3 linked regions of the Arabidopsis thaliana genome follow. The protein of the gene in region 2 interacts with the protein of the main gene of each other region in a pairwise test. Each region holds a gene or a part of one and is shown on either strand. Other genes may lie near its edges.

Region 1 (4,211 bases), on a different chromosome or scaffold from region 2:
AGCCTAACAATGGACTCACATGGGAAATGACAAAGAGGAGAGGTGACCGGGAAGTCCATAAGTAAGATCTCCTTCTCTAACCATTCTTCTTTGCCTTTCTTTCAAATTTGGTTCTGAATTAAGAAATGTGTTGTTACTTACTGTTGAACAGAGATACAAAAGAGAAACCAGGATGGTGTAAAGACCCACATTTACCTCCATGTGCCGCGTAAGTCTCTCTTTGAAACGTTCTCTTTAGAGCAACTCAAGAGTGTTTAGTCATTGTCAGTACTGAGTTTTCTGAAAAAAATTCCCTCTCACAGGTTTGTTGAAATAATGGCGCCTGTATTTTCTCGAGAAGCATGGCGATGTGTGTGGCATATGATTCAGGTTCGTCGATCTGTAGATACATAGTCCTAGTCTTAGTCCATCAAAATAATGCTTGTTGTTTTGATCAGTTTGTTTATGTTTCTGATGCAGAATGATCTGGTTCATGGATGGGGTCTCGACTTTGCGCTTAGAAGATGCGTTGAAGTAAGTTGTTTTTGCCCCCCCCTTGCTTACCTTAATAACACAATATTCTCTTGACTGATGATGAAAATTTGTGTGTTTTGCTTTTGCAGCCTGCTCATGAGAAGATTGGTGTTGTGGATTCGCAATGGATAATACATAAAGTGATACCTTCACTTGGAAGTCAAGGAAAGTCAGAGAATGGGAAAGCTCCATGGCAAGGAGTGAGAGATAGATGCAAAATGGAATGGACAATGTTTCAGAACCGATTGGCTGATGCTGATAAAGAGTATCTTGGGAAGATGGTGAAAGATTAGATTTGTTTTTCTTTTTTCTTTCTATATAATTAATATATTAAAAAAACTTTTACTTTTGTATATCAAATATTTTACACTAAATTAGGTTTTCATAGGACATGTGTGAAGCCCTTTTTATTGATATTGTGTAAGATTTATACATTTTGATTGAGCTTTATTATGTTGTTTGTTACTTTCTCCATTTCAAATTCTTAGATGTTTTTAAAAAGAAATTGCTTTCACTAAACAAGAGAGAAGTGAAACATGTAAAAAAAAAAAACTTTAGAAAACAAAGGTGTAATAGAAGTGGTTGTTATTACATAATCTTTTTGACTTCTGAAAAGACAATAAGAAAACAAGACTTATAACCAGTTTCATGATTTATCTATTTCACCCAATTTCATAAATTGGCTATTTTATATTTGCTCTCAATAGGTAACGTAAATGGTAGAGAAATTAAGGAGAAGAGAAGGGTATTGGTATGGACTTTGGAGTGAGTGTGAAGCTTTACACCAAATCCAAATAATTTCAATTTTCATTTTAGTTTCTATTTTACAATATTTTGCCCAATAGAAAAAGTATGAGAAATTCAGTTTCACCTTCCTTTTTGCTTTTAGTTCAAGTCAATTGTTTGTCCATAGAAAACCATACAATGTCTCCCTCCATTGGCTGTTTCATTTCAGAGTCTTTTTTATGGTTAAGAATTTGCTATCATATCATTAGTAGAAGTCTCTTATGAGGAAAAACAAATATTAAGCAACATCATTATAGTTTTTCTCATGTATCTTGTGCGTAATTATGTAAATGTCATAATTATTAAAACATGAAATTAGGAAGAACAGAAGTTTGGTGTTAGACACCAACCATTTTTATACAAACAAATAATAAAAATCTCATTATATCACCTTTGCATTTCATCACTCATCACATTCACAATCCTTCTCTTTTTCTCACATCAATATATATCTCTCTTTCTCTCTCTTCATTTGATAGATTTGAAGATTTGAGAGGAGAGAGAGGAAGAAAAAATGGGAGAGATGAAGAGTATGCAAATGGGTGTGATTGGAGCATTGTTTCTATCAGTTGCATCTTCTGTCTCCATTGTCATTTGCAACAAAGCTTTGATGACCAATCTTGGTTTCCCTTTTGGTAATTACTAGTACTTTTTTTTTTTGCTTTGTGAGAATATATTTTGTAAGATCTTTATCAAAAACCCGATTATTCGTCTTAGGATTGATCGCTTTTTTGCTATGGTTTTGTTACAGCAACAACACTTACTAGTTGGCATTTGATGGTAACATATTGCACACTTCATGTGGCATATAAACTAAACTTCTTTGAGAATAAACCAATAGACATGAGAACTGTTGTTCTCTTTGGCCTCCTCAATGGCATTTCCATTGGTCTCCTCAATCTCAGCCTCGGCTTTAATTCCATCGGCTTCTATCAAGTATATATCTTCGACATACTTTTGATCATGTAACAATTATATGATTCACCAATTTGATGTTTGTCCATAACTAATGGCAGATGACCAAACTTGCTATCATACCATTCACTGTTCTTTTAGAAACCCTCTTCCTCAACAAGAAGTTCAGGTGAACCAAACTTGATACATAAGATTATTTTAATTTTTATTGTTTACATAAATAACTTTTTTTTGAATGACATATTTTGGTTTTGCAGCCAGAAGATAAAATTCTCATTGTTTTTGCTGCTAGTTGGGGTTGGTATAGCATCAATCACAGATCTTCAGCTCAATTTTGTTGGCTCTGTTCTATCTCTCCTTGCCATTGCCACAACTTGCGTCGGCCAAATTGTATGCTTTAAGTTTCATTAAACTAATGTTTAATAACTAATACATAGTATAATTAATATGACTATGAAAATGTTGTGGTGAAGCTAACAAACACTATCCAGAAGAGACTGAACGTGACATCAACACAACTCCTATACCAATCAGCCCCGTTCCAAGCTGCTATACTCTTCGTCTCGGGTCCTTTTGTCGACAAATACCTCACTAGCCTCAATGTTTTCTCCTTCCATTACTCTCCCATCGTCGTGGTAATTTTTTACATCGTTAATTCCATTTATTCCCAATTGGTGTTAAAATAGAATTAGAATCATTGTCCTGGATCGGTCCAGCCCATTTTCGCATGGCCCCTTAGAGCCGTGCCCATGTTGAGCCATGATTGTATCATAACGTCCCTAGATAGATACTAAAATTTTGTGAAATTTGACAATGATGAATCATGCAGGGGTTCATAACGTTGTCGTGTTTGATAGCGGTTTCGGTTAACTTCAGTACGTTTTTAGTGATTGGAAAGACATCTCCGGTGACATACCAAGTCTTGGGACATCTCAAAACGTGTTTGGTGCTCGCATTTGGTTACACTCTCCTTCACGATCCCTTCACTCCTCGTAATATCGCAGGAATACTCATCGCTGTCCTCGGGATGCTTCTCTACTCCTACTTCTGCTCAGTTGCTTCTAAATCCAAACAAGCCTCCTCCGATTCCACTTTTCTTGTACGTTAACCACACAAAAAGAAAAGATAGAAATAATGAGTGTTGAAAGTTTCTAAGTACTTTGGTTTTATTCCTTTTTTGACAGGGGAAAGATAGAGATACGACGCCGCTTTTGGGACAAGAAAATGAGAACCATCATGAAGCCAAGAAATTAGACAAGCATTCTCCAGTATGAAATAGTACAATAACTCTTTCTTTATGTTTCGACTCTATAATTGTGTCCCTTTTTTTTGTTCATTCATTGATAATGTTTTTGTAATTGAGAAAAAATTGAAATAGCCAATGGGCATTTTCTCTTCTTTTTTATATTTACATTTCCTATTTCATTTCCTCCTTTTTGGATCTTACAAGGATTATAAAATTATTTTCTCTCGTACGTGTTCTTTGGTTTATGTTAGTGTTCTTCAAATGATCAAATGATTGTTTTCTATTAAGAAGATAAAATAAAATAGTATAGTACTAAATAGTGTTTAAAATACAATTAGTTTCAAAACGGTTTTGGACTTTTCGGTGATTAAAATGTGATAAATTATGAAGTTTTTGAGTTTATGGAAGAAAAATGATGGGCGATTTGACATATGCATATAATTATTATCGGTTTTTAGGATAACAGGAACCAGAAATTTCTAATAATTGAAATGCTTTATGCTCTTATTTTTCCTTTCCATATAAAAAATTTAAATGCAATTTATAACATATATACATATAGATATGTATATTGTTAAATATTACATGTGCGTTACGTCTAACGTTTACGAGAATTCATCCTCTGTTCACATGCTACGTTGTCGTTGTTGTTTTATCTTTCCATGAATAGTATATGTATAACATTTTTATGTTATGGTCTTATGGACCTACAAAGAGAATTGGCAATGAAACTTTCCCTTAAAAGCGAATA
Region 2 (4,190 bases):
ATGCCTGCTCGTCTCGCAGTTTCTTGTGCAGTATGTTGATTTAACTCTATATTTCTTCGACTTTCTTGAGGCTGTTTGAATATATTTGGTAATGTGGTATATATGTGGTTTAAGGTCAAGCAAGAGACAGTAGAGAAAGTGTCTGAGATTGTCAAGAAGCAATTGTCGCTCACCGATGATCAAAAAGTCACTGCCGGAACTAAATTTACCGAGCTTGGAGCTGATTCTCTCGACACGGTAAATATCATCTCATTGTATTGTATCTCAGAGCTCATTGGACATCATCATCAACAAATTCTGCTTTCTTTTTGCAGGTTGAGATAGTGATGGGTTTGGAGGAAGAGTTCGGGATAACAATGGCGGAAGAGAGAGCAAAGGAGATTGCAACAGTCCAACAGGCTGCTGAACTCATTGAAGAACTCGTCCAAGAGAAGACTGCTTAGTTAAGGAAACAACCAAAGGCTTTTGTCTTTTGTTATTGCCGTTTGCTCAATTGTGTCATGCTTTGTTGTATGTCTTAATTTGCCCTAGTGGTTTATTATGTCAATCTTTAGACTACTACAAAACTTTCTTTTAGATTATCAGCTTAAGGAACAAAGAGATTCACAAGACATTTTGGATTTATAAAAGAGAAAGAAACATGAGGAAAAAGTACAGACATACAAAAGACTAGACCCTAAAATGTAACCCGCCAAAGCCGGAAAAAGCAGCCATGACTTCTAGGAGATCCTACCCAACGTGTATTTACAGATTGAGAAAATGAGGAAGATGTTTGTTACCCTAGTCCTATTCCCAATCAGAGTCGAAAAATCCAGCATCCTTCATCTCTGAGTAGTATACATTCTCCAAGTTCAAATCTTCTTCCTGCAGCAAACCCATTTGCATTTTAGAGAGAGTGAGAGAGTCAGTGAGAGAAGATGAATGATGATGATTACCTGGAAAAAGTCTGCGAGGAACGTTATGTAAAGAAGAGGAAGGTATAATGCGTGGTAGCAAACACTCATGATCCCATATAACCTGCAAGTATTTTGAGTTAAAAGGCAGATACAAGCTGAACATAAGACAATATTCTCTGTTGGGATGGTTTCAGATAAGAGTTACCAGAAACCAAAATGCGCGTTGTTTGCGGTAAACGCAGATGCAACTAGGTAAAGGCTGTATAAGGCGAACATGATGATTATGTAGTTGTAGAATGCAGGCCTTGCTGTTAGAAACAAGAAGACATGAATGATGATAAATAGAAAGAAACCAGTGGAGGCTATTATGGGAAGATAGAAGCGTCTGATCAACTTACCAGGCAATTTTTCTCTCCACCTAGAGTTGTACATCAAGAACACCATCCCATAAACGCCAGTGAGTAGAAGCTTATGAATGATCCATAAGCCCCATTTGAACGTTTTTCCATTTTCATTGTTGTCAATAAACAATGGCACTCCAAATCCAAAGAGAAAAATTGCCTGAATGAAGGTAAAACCCGTAAGGACTACAGAAATGGTAAGGCCTAATTCATATCAGAAAGTTTGGCAAAAGCAAAAGGAAGATCCTAAACTTGTCATTTCACCATATCTAAGATTTGTTCAGAAATGAGAAGGTATAAGAGTAGACAAAGTAGAGATACCTTGAGAAGCAAATCAAGAGCAACAATAAAACCCGAGATTAGGAACGTTCTAGTTAATGCTTCTGCACCGCTTGCATAGTTTCCTTGGAAGAGAAAAGCCACCAAGCTTACTTCCAGAAACAACATTCCAGATGTTGTGAACAAAGTTAACAGATTCCAAACAACTTCTTTCCCAGGAGTACATTCCCAACCCTATAATCAAATCCGGAAACATGATAATCAAATCAAAAGCTAACCTAGGAATATGTAAATAGATACAAGGATCACTAGCTCATTTCCATAAACCGTGATTACAATTATGATCTTCCTAACAACCCACATCTTATACCAATACAGTAACATTAAATACTTACTTCTGACCAAATTCAAGTTTCACCAACCTAGAATAGTCTTTAATATGCTCATTCATCAACAAAGTTGTCATCTTTCTGAAACATTCATTCATTACTCAATAACCTATCCAGAAACACTAAATACTATGATTTCATTCCTAACCTTATGACCAAAAAGTTTCTAATTTGAGTTTCACAGAACCTAGAAATAGTCTTAAAATACTCATCATTCAATCAAAGTTTTGATCTTTCTTAAAAAAATCTTTGTAATTCAATCAAAGTTGTGATATTTTATTAACAAACCTGGAGACAGCACCAAGCAAGATTGAGCAAGCTAACAAGCCAAAGACAACCATAATAAGCAATCATGATATAAGATCTCCGATTCGAGAGTTTAGACAGACTCTTCTTCGCTTCGTAAGCTAAGTAAGCGACGAAGAAGAGAGAAGCCGCAACGAGAACCGTGTTATGTAAGAATCCATGGCACTTATCGACCCATCTATATCCATTGGCTGTCGAATTAGGGTTTAGCGGTGAAATCAGAAATGGTGACTCTGCAATTTCGTCGAGAACTCGCATTTCATCAATGGTTACGAATCAGATAACAGAGCTAGAGCAAGGAGGAGCGAAACTGGATTTTGGAAACCTAATAAATTTGGTTTCTGACCAAATCCAAACATTGAGGTTGAAATTAGTAAATATAAGATAGTTTTGGACCTTAATGTAAATTAAACGAAGGACCTCTTCTTCTCAACAGTTTTCCGAGAAACCACTAACTAATTATTGTCTTAAAAAGACCCTCAACCACTTAAATTGAAATTACAGTAGAAACTCTATAAATTAATATTCGATAAATTAATAAATATGATAAATTAATATATTATGTCGGTTCCAATTCGGACCAATGTAAAAATTGACCAAAATCGATAAGATAATAAGATAATAATTTTCTTGAAATCTCTATGTCAAAATATGGTCCAGTAATATCATAAATTAATAATTACTAATCTTAAACATACTTTTAAAAATAATCTAGTATAATATGACTTTCGTTATATTTGTCTTTTCTTAAAATTTGAATCTCTTTGAAGTTCATCTCTAATTTTTTTTATTGCATCAAAAACTCTTGGTGTTGTCTTTTCGATATACATACAAAAGTTATGAAGAGTTCTAGACGCGATAATTGCTTCCTTACGTGTCACTATTTCAGAAAGTTTCACATTATCGTCTTCAAGTTCTTCACCAACATTATAGACAGAAATCATAATTTCTTCTAAAAACTCTGAATTTTTAAGTATGCTTCATTTGCACCTAGATATTCGAGTTGTCTATTGACATTTATTCTATTTTGAAAGAAAATAGTGTTGTATTTTGCTTAAATATTTCTATAAATTGATAAATATTAATTTATCCTATAAAATAATATTTATTAATTTATAGGATAAATTAATATCACTATAAATTAATAAAATTTCATGATCCCAATATTATTCATTTATAGAGTTTCTACTGTAGCTGATATTTGAAATCTCAGATTTATACACATGTTATAGTTGTTAAATTCACTTCATATACTATAGCTGCTAATTATATTTATATTAAAAAAAAACAATGAAATCAAAACTTGGATATACAACAGTGAATAAATATTTTTGTAACATGCTAAATCAAGCCTTGAACAGTAGGGGTCGGATGTTGACTGGTAGCAATTCTGCGGAGTAAACAAGACATTGAGGAGTACGCAACAAGTGACTTGAGATGCAAGTAACATGGAATATGTGATTGCATACTGTTTTGTAAGAAAAAACTCCTCTTCTTTGGGATAACCTTTTTCACAAAGAAAGCACAATTCTCTACCCCGGTAACCATCTACGAGTTTCTTCGTGGTTGGACTTTGGAGCTATTAGCCGTACAAATGTATCTCCAACGGCATCTTTTACATCCAACATAGTGTCTGCGAGTCTTAACACATTCATATGAGCTTCATGATATGTGAGGTAAGAAGATTCATGTAGTAACCATAAATTTAACGAGATAAAGAGTTTTGGTCTTGTGCGATAATGGTGTTTTACATGAATGGATTCAAGGGAAGTTGATGTGTCATCTTCTTATTAAGGTCTATTTAGCTATATGTGGACGAAAGAGATGTCTCGATCAAAATGGTTTCTCTTCGTTGAACATGGATCACATGATTATGCATCTTTGATTGTTGTTTCCTTTTACAAGACATTCTCCTCTTT
Region 3 (5,062 bases), on a different chromosome or scaffold from region 2:
CTCTACTGTAATCTACCTTGAATTTTTGAAGACGTGACTCATTGTTAAACTGGAGAAATCTGTCAATGAAATCAATCAACAGTTTTTCGTTGTTGTTCTGAAAGGGGAAATCACGGCAGTTCAAATCAAGTCCGGGAACATTAAGCCATAGATTCTTCCATCTAGTCGATAAAACACTCGTCTTCACAGAAGCTTTAGTCGGAAGGTGTAACAGTATTTGACTAATCAAAGATTCCGGCAATTCGCTAATTCTATCAAACCCAGGCATGACCTAATAGCATTAACAAACAATAAATTAATCGAATTCCAAAAACTAGGGTACAAGTGTCTGACTATAAACGAAATACTCACCGTGGATTCCATTCGCCGGCGGAATTATTGGCCGGAGTTGTGGAATTAGCTTCAGCTACGAGCTAAACGATGAACATGAAGTGATAATGAAAGAGAATCACAAAATTGAAGTATTTATACGTTCGAAGCGGTTCCGATTCCAATTTTTGCGTTTCCAAAAAAATAAAACGGTTGCCATTATTATAATTCTTTAATTTTCCATTAATAACAAACGTTATACAATGTTAAACCGACATTTTACGGTTAAACCGGTATCGGTTACATGTTTTACATGACTTAGAACTAACATATTTTTGTATGTTTGCAACGAGTTAACAAACTATTTTGATCTTGAAAGGCGATAAAGCTCAGTCGAACTTAGCAGCGGAAGTGTGAGATATCCAATTAGCTCTCCAAGTAATGGAAGGCGAAAGAAGACGCTCTGTTTTCCAACCTCCTGATCTCAGCTACATGGGAAACAACAGAAAGAAAAAGAGTGAAAACAGTAGCTTTAGTGTCATAAAAACACGGTTTAACTGGTCCTAGTGATTTAATCTTACCTTGTGGAGCAATTCGTCATAGTGTTTATCAATCCAAGCTTCTCCTTCTGAATAAAAAGATGTGCTCTTTTCCATAAGGTTTGCCAAAACAATGGCATGAATATATGATTTCAACACATCTGCAGGTTTTGAATCTTTGTGCAAGATCACACTAACATTTCCCTTTATGTGAGCCAATAAATACTTAGCTGCAGGAGTGTACAACAACAGACAAGAACCGAGCTTACGTCAAGTATGGACAGAGAAACTAATGTCCTTGAAAGATTGTGGAAAAATAAATCAATCAAACCATTCTTGTATGAAGAAGCTCCAACACCATTTAGCAGCTGCAACCTGCACACAAATATGTCAAGCTTGAGCCGATTCTTTACCCGAAAATTATGATAATCTAGTATAGAGCTTACATATCTAGACGAGGGAGAGAGGAAACTCTCACACCTAACTGCACTCTCTTATGCAATGGCTTTGAATTCGTTGACCTCAATGAAGTGGCCCACAAGGGCAATACACCCTCCATTGAAGAAACCTGTTCGGGAGAGAGAACTGGCAACACGTTTAGTTAAAGAAAGTTATTGGTATATGGTGCAATAATAAAGAGAAACCAATAAAAAACAAAGGAAAGCCACTGAAAACTTGAAAGAATCAATGGCGCATTTCGAAATTACCTTGGCCAGTTTGAATGAAATGTGTTAGAAGAATTGAACTCCTCTCAAAGTTTAATGAATTCAATACAAGACACCGGACAGCTCTATAGTTTGCTAAATATATAAGAAAGGCAAACAGTGAGAGAAATTCTGATTTGATCTATGCTTTAACCTTCATTTGTGACTTACCATACATATGAAACACGGTGAGAGAGAGAAACGAAAGCCAAATAGCCATAGGGTTTCCAGAGGTAAACCGAGCTAGCAACATTCCCAATGACATACCCATCATAGTTGCCATAGTCTCTTGGCTTCCTTCCTTTCAATAGATAAAATAGAAGCAAAGAATTACTCAAAGTTCACATTTATAGTTTCTATATCATTCACAGTGACAAGAAGTAAAGAGTACCTTAGCAGATATATCCGCTGCATTGTCTTGAAGAGCAAAGTGCTGTGTTAGAGCTGCTCTGGTTGCTCCACTTGCAACACCAGCTAATAGCCAAGATTGAAAAAAGTTAAAAACCGATGTATCAATCCAAACCGAAGTCTTAACTTCAATGTTTGATGCAAGAAATGATACGCACTAAATGATCTTGATAGGCTCCCTAAGCAAACCACAACGATAAAGGCAGATGGAAACAAAGGAGAAAGAAGGTCCATTAGCATTCCTGCAATAAAAGCAACAAAGCTTGTAGTCATTCAACTGAGAACCAAATACAGGCAATTAGTATCAAGTGTGATGTGACAACTAACTTTTACATACCAATATCATTCATAAGGTCAGCAACTAGGCGCCACATTTTTGCATTGCTATCCAGGTTGGAACCCTGAAGAACAGAACAGTTCCCATTAAATAAGAACGTAACCAATCTAAATCTTAAAGAAAAGGGAAGAGAATCGATGTGTATTATGATTGGGAAGAATCTGCTACATAGGCACCTGATAAAATGTGAACAATATACCTCCAAGCATCCCAGTAAAATCCCTCAGAAACCACTGCATAATACACAAGATAGAATCACTATTCTCCATTGCGCTTTATAGTTCTTGAGAGAACTAGTGTGAAATGTTATATGTAAGCAATGGAAAAACTCACCTGAAATGTAGCACCTATAACAGTTGCGGATTTCTCACCAACGCCAATTGCACTCAAAAGAGCCTGAAAATAGTCCAAATCAGAAATGCTGCAGCAGACAAATTGGACCAAAATAGAGAACTCAGAAGCTCAAAAACTTTAGCTTTAGCTCACCTGAGTGGAAAGCATCATCTTTGTATAAGTTGAGAGGCCCTGCAACAAACATAGCCGAGAGTCACAATTCAAATTTCACAGTAGCTATAAGGCATACAAGCATATTCTCACATACCTGTAATGTGTCCCATAACTGAAACCCTACATAATCTGGAGTTACACTGCCAGGAAAGCCCTGCACTAGACAAAGTACAATTCAGCCAAACCCTAATCCGGAGGACAGATTCTAAAGGGAAAAAGAGAGAAAACACTTGCCTCTGGTACAAATGCTTGAAGAACTCGTCTCCACACATGATTAAAGCGATTAGCAGACCTATGAATCACTCACAGGAGACGAAAACCCAAGAAAGTTTCTCAATTTTGTTGTGAATCCACTGAAACTATCAGATTTGGATTGATTTCAAAGAGGAATAAAGAAGAACCTTTGGATAGAGAGAGAAGAGGAGGCAGTGATGGTTGCTGTTTTGAATAGCTTAGTGGAAGAAGAACCATTCCATTCTTCAAGAGTAATCGATCCGCAATCAGAGACTTGTTCTTCTCTCATGGCGAATTTTGGCTTCTTACGAGTGAAAAGAATCACTTATTCAAATGTTTAGACTTTATGAGTGTTTTGGACTTTGTGTTGGGTTTCAATTGCAATTGAATAGTCCAATGACCCAAATGTGATTGGACTTTGGGTTAGTAAAAGGTACGTTTTTGGCAAACGCAGGTCACATGTCCACATCATAGTCTTCTTTTGGCTCCCAATTGGATTTCTAGATTTAGAAACACTTAAACCAACAAGTCACGGAAGTGTGTGAAAGGAATGTTAATGCTAATGATCACCATATCTTTATATGCTTTGTGCCTATGTTTCTAGGTTTTGATCATCAGTCACCAACTTTATAAATGTTGTTTCCTACAAGTTATCTCTAGAACACAGTTGTATCACATTCATCTTCATCTTCAGACATTTGTTTTCATGATCTTCTTGTGAGAAATGGGAAACTTGTTGATGTTTTGGTGACTCTTGTGTCAATTCAAGAGGGAAAATCTCATCGAAAGCAACCTTTGTCAGGAGTTGCAATTCATAGGACACTGTTTGATGTGAATGAAGAAGCTTATGTCAAAGCTTCTCCAACAGTTCTCGGATTTGATGTAAAGCTTTGTGTTATTTTATATGATAAAAGCTTTACATTGCACCTTTTTCTTTGTTTCTACAGTGCTTCGATTTGTCTTACAAGAGTTAAATATGTCGATCCACCTCTACTGTGTTCTACGCCTATCAAGGTCTTTTCCTCATCAAGGTTTACTACGAGGTTTTGTGCTTCTCTTCTCTGCAATGAGTCTTAAATTTCTTTACAAATTCTTTAAAGTTTGATGTGTTACTAGTTTCTCTTCTTGTCAGGGTCTTTTAAAAGTATATGCAAACATCATTGTATTATATTAGAATATATATATATATATATATAGTATTCAGATTCATTATTTCAACTGATTAGATCTATGGAACAAATTGAGAGAGAAGAAGACAAGATTCTGAATTTGAACAGCAGCTAAAAAGCAAGAACAAATTTGACTTTTTAATTCCCTCTCAGAAAAGAAATGACGAACCCAAAAGTTCTTTCTAACTTAAGAAAAACTTGAGCAAAACTTAAGCAAAACTTAAGAAAAATTTAAGAAAAAAACATTCCATTTTCTTATCAAATTAGTTCTAATATTATCGTAGCTAGTGCTCAAATATCACCTAGGTTCATAACAGAGAAAACACATGGTACATATTTGGATTTTGGCCACAACTATTTGAGAAAAACTGTATGTATGTATTCGGGATCACGCCATCCAACCATCCTTGCAGGAGCCATTAAACGGGACTATTCATGTTGTTGCGGGAGGTGGAGGAGCCAGTCTAGATGATTTCTCTTGCATGCAGTCCAGCTGGAGCCTGCTCGGCGACAAGGACTTTGGGTTCGTCACCTTAATTGTCGTCGATCACTCTACCATTCAGTTCGAGTACAGGAGAAGCAGCGACGCAGTCATCCACGACTCTTTCGAGATAGCGAGGGAGTACAAAGAGATACTGGCGACTTTCACTTTGTAGGATAGGGAGAAATTAAAATAAAACGGCTATCTATTTTTATTTTGGACGGTTAATTGGAATAAAAATATCTGGTTTATTTAATATTGTCTTTATAAGTAAGTATTCGTGTAATAAACGATTGGTCGATTCTTAGTTTTTACTTGCGAATCTGAAGAATCTGATGATCGATGACGAAGATGATTCACTAAAGCCTCTTCTT

What was found. Proteins that work in one complex are often made in the same cells at the same time.
Region 1: the proteins of Cand8 (region 2) and AT2G28315 interact in a protein complementation assay, tested with the Arabidopsis thaliana proteins (one large-scale study listed by BioGRID).
Region 3: the proteins of Cand8 (region 2) and RUS3 interact in a protein complementation assay, tested with the Arabidopsis thaliana proteins (one large-scale study listed by BioGRID).

What each region holds. Positions count from the first base shown.
Region 1 is NC_003071.7:12,087,083-12,091,293, forward strand, and holds AT2G28315 (Nucleotide/sugar transporter family protein), read left to right. Parts: upstream 1-1,584; 5' UTR 1,585-1,813; coding exon 1,814-1,934; intron 1,935-2,050; coding exon 2,051-2,235; intron 2,236-2,315; coding exon 2,316-2,383; intron 2,384-2,471; coding exon 2,472-2,604; intron 2,605-2,687; coding exon 2,688-2,849; intron 2,850-3,043; coding exon 3,044-3,313; coding exon of another isoform or gene 3,314-3,322; exon of another isoform or gene 3,323-3,398; coding exon 3,399-3,488; 3' UTR 3,489-3,683; downstream 3,684-4,211. Other genes in the region: AT2G28310 (trimethylguanosine synthase (DUF707)), read left to right, coding at 1-61, 152-208, 303-369, 460-513, 603-806. UniProt on the Arabidopsis thaliana protein: Nucleotide-sugar transporter that transports UDP-xylose and UMP in a strict counter-exchange mode.
Region 2 is NC_003076.8:9,571,547-9,575,736, forward strand, and holds Cand8 (Protein of unknown function, transmembrane-40), read right to left. Parts: upstream 2,590-4,190; 5' UTR 2,530-2,589; coding exon 2,254-2,529; intron 1,811-2,253; coding exon 1,619-1,810; intron 1,458-1,618; coding exon 1,295-1,457; intron 1,205-1,294; coding exon 1,102-1,204; intron 1,018-1,101; coding exon 936-1,017; intron 865-935; coding exon 787-864; 3' UTR 520-786; downstream 1-519. Other genes in the region: ACP5 (acyl carrier protein 5), read left to right, coding at 1-30, 115-237, 315-443. UniProt on the Arabidopsis thaliana protein: G-protein coupled receptor. Plays a role in plants and microbes interactions.
Region 3 is NC_003070.9:4,719,982-4,725,043, reverse strand, and holds RUS3 (root UVB sensitive protein (Protein of unknown function, DUF647)), read right to left. Parts: upstream 3,471-5,062; 5' UTR 3,328-3,470; coding exon 3,206-3,327; exon of another isoform or gene 3,097-3,205; coding exon 3,039-3,096; intron 2,959-3,038; coding exon 2,899-2,958; intron 2,823-2,898; coding exon 2,784-2,822; intron 2,694-2,783; coding exon 2,631-2,693; intron 2,531-2,630; coding exon 2,474-2,530; intron 2,362-2,473; coding exon 2,298-2,361; intron 2,203-2,297; coding exon 2,119-2,202; intron 2,027-2,118; coding exon 1,944-2,026; intron 1,854-1,943; coding exon 1,724-1,853; intron 1,649-1,723; coding exon 1,556-1,648; intron 1,434-1,555; coding exon 1,295-1,433; intron 1,224-1,294; coding exon 1,180-1,223; coding exon of another isoform or gene 1,079-1,179; coding exon 891-1,078; intron 798-890; coding exon 699-797; 3' UTR 529-698; downstream 1-528. Other genes in the region: AT1G13780 (F-box/RNI-like/FBD-like domains-containing protein), read right to left, coding at 1-271, 352-363; AT1G13760 (uncharacterized protein), read left to right, coding at 3,943-4,081, 4,621-4,679.